Linked DNA regions of Tribolium castaneum. The protein of the gene in region 2 interacts with the protein of the main gene of each other region in a biochemical or structural test. Links are inferred from orthologs where the notes say so. Each region holds a gene or a part of one and is shown on either strand. Other genes may lie near its edges. The genes, in order: mats and wts.

Region 1 (3,538 bases), on a different chromosome or scaffold from region 2:
GAGTAAAGACAAGGGGCACATGCAGCATAGATATATTGAGTTGTTTTTAAATTCGGCGGGGGCTGATAATGGAAATTCCGGTTACGTTACCGGACGGAGAAGGGTTTAGTTTAAAAAAAAAACAAGACTTTGAAAGTATTTATCTATCTAGGAATATTTTTTTACTTAAATTTGGATTCTTATTTTTGTATTGTTGTGTTCAAATGACGTACAAAACGCCGGCCAAGGTTTGGTTTGTTTCTGTTTCAGAGGTTACTCGGATGAGAAATCCAATTTACCCTCCATTACTAATTGTAATTAAGCAGTTTTATAAATGAATTAATTTTTAGTAAATAAATTATTAATTCGAGTAATTTTCCTAGTATTATTATCCTCCCTAAACTAATTACAAGAATCTGTATTATTAGCCAACTGTGAGGTTTGCGGTACAAAAGTAACACTTGAACATCTATGAACGTGTATATTGATTCTAAAAATAGTTTTATAATATACATGGTTAGAAATTTCGTTCAAGCAAGCGACTAGATGTGAAATCGAATAAAAGCGCAATTTATTGTGGTCAATAAAATACAAAAAAAACCTAATCATAGGCTCGAAAAAAACAGGAACAAAAATATAATAAATAATAATATAGGAAAAAAATGAAGCTTAATTAACAAACATTGATAAAACAACACTCAGTAGTAGTAAATTGTCGTTTCCTACGTGGTTAAGTGCAATAAATAAGTTGTTATCTTGTTTTAAGTATACCGGGTGTTCCGTCTAATCCCCACGTTAGTAGTATTGAAAGTTCTAACAAAGATGTTTATTTGAAAGTTGGTACTCAGCCATAATCCGTTGAATTTTGCTCAATGAACCCAAGAGATATGGTTGTATACAAATTTTCAGATGACTATCATTATTCGAACTACTAAAACTTCTAATGTGGGGTTTAGACGGAACACCCTGTAGATAGTGCCCCCTAACCCTGTTCCAGTGGCACTTCCCTCATTTTCATCGTGCTTCCTTTGCTGTCAATTTATCGATCAATTCTTGAAGGGGGGCTTGTTCTCGTCGTTCAATTAAACTAAATTCCTGTCAAAAGCACAGAAAAATTGTGGAAATCCCCAAATTTTCTCCTCACCTGCACGAAGAAAATAAAATGTTTGAAAGAGGTATTAAGATGTGCCTCTTCCCCTAATTGCACCACTTGACTAAAATGTTGATGGTAAATGTGTGCATAAACTCGGAAAAGTCTCTTAAGGATAGTCTTAGCAATCGAGAGGAAATTTTTCGGAAATGGAACTCCGATTTTCGAGGGAAAAAGTGTCTCATCATCAAGTTGGTCCTGCACCCATGTCATGAGATAATCGATGTATTTGGGCGCAGAGCACTTGATGGGTTTCTTAACAGTGTGCCCATCGGCCCAATGGTACTCATATTTGGGGCCCGCTGACATTATGGGACAACTCTCTTCAGTGCAAAACTCTGTTATGGTCCCGTACAACATATTGATTTGGTTAAAGAAATCAACGGCTGTGGAACAAGAGGGCTGTATTTTGGGGTGCATACAAAAGGGGTACATACTGTTGACGGCCACCCACTCGTTTAGGTCTTCGCCCTCGGGGAGCATCACCGCTAAACGCAAATTACCAGAACCTAAAGTGGCAGCAGCGTGTTTCATCAGCTCGTACTGATGGGTGCCTTCAGGGATGTTTTTCTTGGGCTTGAACGTCTTTGACGAACGGCTGCCGCTACAAGGGGGCTGGTAAAGGGGCGCACTGGGACTGGGGGGCTACTTACAAAAGGAAACTCATCGTGACTGCGCTCAACTCACTCAAAGGCAAAATGGGACACAATCACAGGAAATAAACCCATAATCCATCGACCAGAAACAATTATTCACGATGAAAGTCTTATCGGTACAATTTTCGTGACCTTGGAATGGCAATTGTCAAAAACAAGCGCCACATTTGAATTTTTCGCGTAATTTGGGCGCAAACAAACGTAATAATTAACACTCGGAGCGCTAACAATTTATAATTAAATGGAACGCAAGAACTGTGCTGCAGTTATCACGTAAATGTAATTTTCGCCAAAATTTCGTACCGGGTTTTTTGCCGCGTTAAGTTGTCACTTGACCTAACCTTACTTAAAAAAAAATGCGTTAACACATTTAACGTGTTTTATGTGATATTTTGTGGAAAATCATTAAATAATACTGCAAGTCGTTCGTTATGGCCCCCATTCTTAATTTGAAATTGACCACAAGTCACAAATTTTGCCCCGACAGCCCCCTTCTGAATGCCCTAAAATCATGCAATGACGATTCCCTCTATAAAAAACTGATCGACGAAATCGTAATTATTAATGCAGGGTGTACAGTGCGAAATTGACGATTTTTTCCAGCTTGACACCTACCACCATCATCAGGACTTTGGCGCCCGAAACGTCATAATCGAAGCGTTAATTAACACAAACGGGCGCAAAAATTTGCTCAAATACATGTACAAGCAGTTAAATGTGCGCCAAATTGGCCAAAGTAGTTTTTTCGAACACATTGCATCAAGTGTGATGAATGAATGTAGAGAAAATTTCGATAATTTTGTTTTCAGTTTAACGTTGTGCGAGAAAGTCGTGCAGTTTTTTGCGTGTTTTATTCAAAATTTTCCCGATGATTTTCTAGAAAAGACGTTTTTGTTTTATTTCTACAGTCTGGAGGCGCTTCAATCGTAAGTTGGCTGTGATCAAGTCAAATTTTTATTGTTTGTCGTAGCCATGGTAACGATTGTTACGTGAGTATGGTTTTGAAACAGTTGGCTGTGACGTTACCACATGCCAATATGAAACAATTGAGTAACTATGCCCTTGAAATGGTTGTTATGACTTTTGAGATTTTGCAAAATTGCGAATTTAAATTTGAGACGATTTTGGACAGTTTCGTGGTTTTTTCGTACTTCTCAACCCTTTTGCCTGCAAAAGAAACAATTTTTTTGGTAAGTTTTCAATTTTGGGAGCAATTTGTAATTTTTTGTTCATAGAAACACCGAAATTACCCCATTTTGGAGTTTATAGATAACGAAAAAAATGATTTTTGTTTGATTCTCCAAAGTAAAAATTTTCCGAATTTATTCAAAACTGGTCGTTTGAAAGCAATTCTTTACTTGACTATTTCAAACACTGTACCACGTGACGTCCTTTTGAACGTAAAAGTGGCCAAAAAACCGCTTTACGAATCACTTTATACAAACTTAATTGATTTAGGGATGAGGTAAATCCCCGAAAAGTCCGTTACCTAGTTACTTATTTTTTTCCAGTTTGACAAACTTCCCCGACCCAATTGTCCCCATAACACGAACTTTGGACTCACTTTCGGTCTTAATTACACGTTCGTCGAACTTTTCGGAACTTTTTATCAAAAGTTTCGACTTTATTTGGACACATTTGGACCACTTCGTCGATCAGGTGACCCAAAACACGAAATCACTCTTTGAAAAATTGACAATTGAAGCACAAAAACGTGGCGAAAAGTTGGCGTTGGAAAAACTCATCGCCGACT
Region 2 (4,608 bases):
CGGCCCCGCTATCCAAAGCCGGACTTCCTCTCGGCAGAACCAATTCTCGTTCGATGCTAGGCTTACGTATGAGTTTGGTGTAACCGCATTTGTTTCCGGAGTCGATTTGTTGTTTCATGAGATAGTCGAGGGCGCCGTCCAGACGTGAGTTGGAGAGTTGGAGCGCTCGCAACGAGGCCTCCTCCGAATAGCCCATGTTGACGAGCTGCGAGAGCGTGTGTCTGAGCTGGAGGACGTCCTTGTCGGTGCCGTTAGTGCCGGACGTCGAGCTCAGCGAGCTCACTCCGCTTGTGGCGGAGAAATTCGAAATGGTGCTGGCCGCACTGGAGCCCACGGCCTCGCCGCCGCTCTTTGCGAACGGGCGCAGCGAGTTCTGGATCTCCTCCATGGCCTTTTGGTGGTAGCCCGGCGAGCGGGCTGGCGCGCTGGGATTCATGTTCAGTTGGGGCCGAGGCTGTTGGCCCATGCTGGGCCCTGCCACTCACTAGCGATTCACATGGCTCCCCGCACATGAGTATGCACTACAATTACGCCCATTCATACATTTTGCATTACATTGGAAGACGAGTTTTGACGCACTCCTGACGATTCTTGCAGTGGATTCGATCGTTCGCGACTTCACGACTGCAATCAAAAACAAAATATTCAAAAATAAAAACACTAGCAGTCAAGGAGTAGGCATTTGCCCCCGCTGTAACAAGTTACCCCCTTATAAAAATAATAAAAAAAAATTTAAGGGCCGGTTTACAGAAAGCTACGTTAAAATTTAATTAGTTGGTAAAAGTTAACAACGCGAATGGACCAACCAAATTGCGTCAATTTGGTCACGTGATCAGTTAATCACGCATTTAATTGGAAATTAAATTAATGACTTAATGAATTTCTTTTTTTTTTTCAAACTATCCAGTCAAGTTTATAAGGTGTTTAATAAAACAACAATGAACCCTCAATGAACCAGAAAACTATGTTTATTTCTTTATGTGAAAAAAATACATAGAATAAAATTACAACTTTTTTAAAATAATTTTTTATGCAAGTTAACCCTCAACTTTAAACTGATTTTTCTTAAAATAGAGATTTCAGCGTTGTATCCCTAGACACCTTCCAATTCAAGGAGAATTCTGCAAAAATCTCCAACTCCGAAAATAAGAGTATGAGTTGATTTCTAGTGCGATGTGAAACGTCGCTCTGCACATTGCAAAATATAAAATGTTGTTAAATTTGGTAGCTTTCTGCATAATTTCGCCTAATTTAAATTTAAAAAATAACAACAGGTAACCGCACGATTAAGCTTTGCAAAACTTCAATGAAGAATGGAAATATTCATGAACGCATAAATCATGCTTCACTGCTTTGTTAATGTGCCGTGGATCCTCGAAGATGCACGTGAAAATGACGTTTTCGTTTTTACAGGGAAGTGCGAACACAGACATTGTCGCTTTATTTCAATCTAAAAAAATACGGTTACGTTTTTATCAATAATTTGACACGAATTTTATCAAATCGTCGAGTGAAAATTTAATACGTCCATAACGAGCTCTCATACTGTGACCTGTTTTGATAATTCCAAATTACTCAAGAGGAATAGATGCTTGAAATTCCAACGAATTTCTAAAGCGCTGTGATATTTGGAGTTACTCATTTAATGCAACCGGTACATTTTATAAATCATTTTGAGACACGATAAAGATTTACAAGATCTGCACTAACGGAAAGCAAAAAACAGATAAATTAATCAACATTTTTCTTGATCCTTGGACTTCTTAAATAATCCATTTTGCCGTGGAAAAATTTCGGCTTCGAATCGGATGTGTGCGGTTTTATTATTGCAGCCGTAAAACTTCAAGTTATGACAAAAGTTTAGTGGAATTTTTTGATAAACGAGATTCTTCCTTTGTGGTAAAACTTTTGATCTCAAATAAAATTATATTAACACTGACACTGTATATAAATATTTTTAGAAAACTATTTAAAAAACGCATAAACCACAAAATATGCAGTCGCCAGTCGGTATTTAATAATAATAATGAATTCATTCAGCTCTCACAAATCGTGATTTTACACTCTGCTAGATTTTAACCATTGATGTCAATTTCTTGTTAATTCATTACGTAATGAGCACCAATAACGAGCGGTAAAAAAGGTCGCTTACCAATAAGCGTGCACAATTGCAATTTTTTATGCACCCGTGAAAATCACTTTCAAATAATTATTACTGAAAAAATGTTCTAAATGTGACCTCAATTACATTTGCATTTGGATTGTTTTTATTTTAATAAACACCAAAATCGCTCCTAGTTGCTAAATGAAGAAGTCTCCGAGGAATAATTGGAGTGGTTGTGTCTTTGTATGGCATGTTTTAATTGATTAATTTACATTCTTATGGTCCAGTTTGGTGATTTGCTTTCATAAAAAGCTGCAACTATGACAATTAGCTGCGGAGATTAGGAAGAGAAGCGAATTTTGTGCGTTAGTTGAGACAAATCAGGGGGCGTTTGGTGTGGATTAAAGCGTAGGCTAAAATGGGAATAAATCGGTGTAAAGATTAGGCATAGCATCTGTCATAGTGTATGGGATACAGTGCTTCAGGCGCTAGTAGAGCTATGTGCCAAATTACAATCAAATGTCTCACTCGCACGGCATTCCAGTCATACATTCTTTGGCATTGTGCGTGACATCTAATCTGTTACTGTCTAACACCAATTCATCTCATCAAGGATAAATTTATTTAAACAACCTAGCCAACAATTACCTTTTATTCTTCTAAAACAAATGGAATCTGCTGCAAGAACTGACAGATTTTGAAGTGTCAATTGTCAATCTATCTCATTCTATGTGGAGGAATTTATGAACACTTAACACATTATTTCCATCATAGGGCTTCTACACTACGCTACGTCGCACGCACCACACAATAAACTTTTAATTACATTCAACTGTACGGTTATTTAAAGCTAAATCACTTTTTAAGGCACTTAAATCTGTAATGAAAACAAAGACAATTTACCAAGATTCAGATACCAGCCATCTTACACAGTGTCAAATTCCAGAATCTGCCAACCTTAGAAAACTATTTATTTAGAACTAAATGCCATTGCTTTAGCTCACGAATCGTGTCTGCACCCAGACAATTACTTGGAAATTATAAAACATCCCATTTTTTCCAGCTGAGTATTTATTAATGCCTTGTTTCGTCCATTTTTAGTTGAAAATAATGTGACGCCTAGTTCCCTCCGTTTTCTCAATTTGGCAGCTATGCGCGCTGCTTGCGACAATGGAGATAGCGTTTGTTCCATAAGCGTATCAAAGGTGTTCAAATTAGAAATTATTATTTCTTTTGTGAGCTTTTTTTTAGATCTAATATAAATGATTTGAAAAGTAAAATGCTAACTTAAATTGTGCTAAAGTTACATAATTTAAACATCTGCCCAGATGCAAAATAAACATGCATGGTATTTGATAGTTTCAGTCTCTACGCCCCTGATTTAAAATATTTACAGATTTAAAAATCAAAAAAAAGGTCATAATAGGCGTTTTATCTTTGTCTTTCTCCGTCAATCTGTCTTTGTTTCAGCAATGTGACCGAGTATGTGTGGAATAGAAAAATAAAAATTATGATATAACACAATTTTTATGAAATAAACAAGTATCCTTAAATAATTAAAACTGGATACGTGAGGTCCTTCTTCAATTTTCGTCAACTGTCACATCAAGAAGTTTTAGAATTGAGGTTACACCTAACCTCAACTCAATTTTTAAGCCGAAAATGGGAAAAGTCATGTCTTTAATGGGTCGTCCTTTTCGGACTTTTAACATCGAGAGTAGAGCACACAAAATTATATCCAAAGATAAGCCAACTCCAGCTCCCAAACACAAAAGTGATCAACTAGATTATGAAAGATTAATGAGAGGTGAGTTTGTTTATTCGAAAGGGCTTGAGTAATGTAATATTCTTGAAGAGTATCCTGAAGAATTTAGGGAAGGCCAGAAAAAACACCAACAGTTGGATAACTACTTAAAAGATGTTTATGTGACCTCACATGACCCTGTAAGTAAATTAAAAAAAAAAACGTCAAATTTGCAAATATTTTTTTAGAATCCGGTGCAAGAACAGAAAATAAACCCCAACAGACCTCTTCCTCTTAACAGGCAACAAGTTGAGGATTTTGAATATGGGGTTAAAGAACCTGAAAAAATTCCAGAAGGGAGGGCCTCACTAAAACAAGTCCTTAAGTTTGTGACAGACCACCAACACGATCGTAGACTACATAGTGTTGAAGCTATTTCTAAGGAGTATAAATTACCCGAAGAAATAACAAGTAATTTTCCATTGTTTTAAGCCAATATAGCCAATGATCTGTTGCAGAAAATGTTTTAAAATATTATAAAGTTTTTGAAGTCTATATTCCTGAACAAAGAAGAGTTAAAGCCAAGTTTGCTGGGCCTAGTGTACCCAGAATTAGAGTCATGCCAAAACTTAGAAAACAACTGTTACCTGGGAAAGAAGACAAGGGGGATACCTGACAATGTAACTGAAATTTAGTTCAATTTAAATAGTTTATTTATAGCAAAAAAAAATAAAAAACTTAAAAGTAGTTACGCTACTTT

What was found.
Region 1: of the proteins of wts (region 2) and mats, one has a biochemical effect on the other in vitro, tested with the Drosophila melanogaster proteins (2 studies listed by BioGRID). The link is inferred for Tribolium castaneum from reciprocal best matches to the Drosophila melanogaster genes wts and mats.

The regions. Positions count from the first base shown.
Region 1 is NC_087400.1:149,417-152,954, forward strand, and holds mats (MOB kinase activator 1B), read right to left. Parts: upstream 1,943-3,538; 5' UTR 1,797-1,942; coding exon 1,783-1,796; intron 1,734-1,782; coding exon 1,124-1,733; intron 1,075-1,123; coding exon 994-1,074; 3' UTR 529-993; downstream 1-528. Other genes in the region: heterogeneous nuclear ribonucleoprotein H, read left to right, coding at 1-109; tRNA (32-2'-O)-methyltransferase regulator THADA, read left to right, coding at 2,217-2,339, 2,389-2,711, 2,756-2,975, 3,021-3,250, 3,297-3,538. UniProt on the Drosophila melanogaster protein: Coactivator of Warts (Wts) kinase in the Hippo/SWH (Sav/Wts/Hpo)signaling pathway, a signaling pathway that plays a pivotal role in organ size control and tumor suppression by restricting proliferation and promoting apoptosis.
Region 2 is NC_087397.1:10,568,106-10,572,713, forward strand, and holds the start of wts (serine/threonine-protein kinase Warts), read right to left. Parts: upstream 3,065-4,608; 5' UTR 2,753-3,064; intron 625-2,752; 5' UTR 467-624; coding exon 1-466. Other genes in the region: protein NDUFAF4 homolog, read left to right, coding at 3,767-3,911, 3,960-4,048, 4,097-4,319, 4,367-4,524. UniProt on the Drosophila melanogaster protein: Negative regulator of Yorkie (Yki) in the Hippo/SWH (Sav/Wts/Hpo) signaling pathway that plays a pivotal role in organ size control and tumor suppression by restricting proliferation and promoting apoptosis.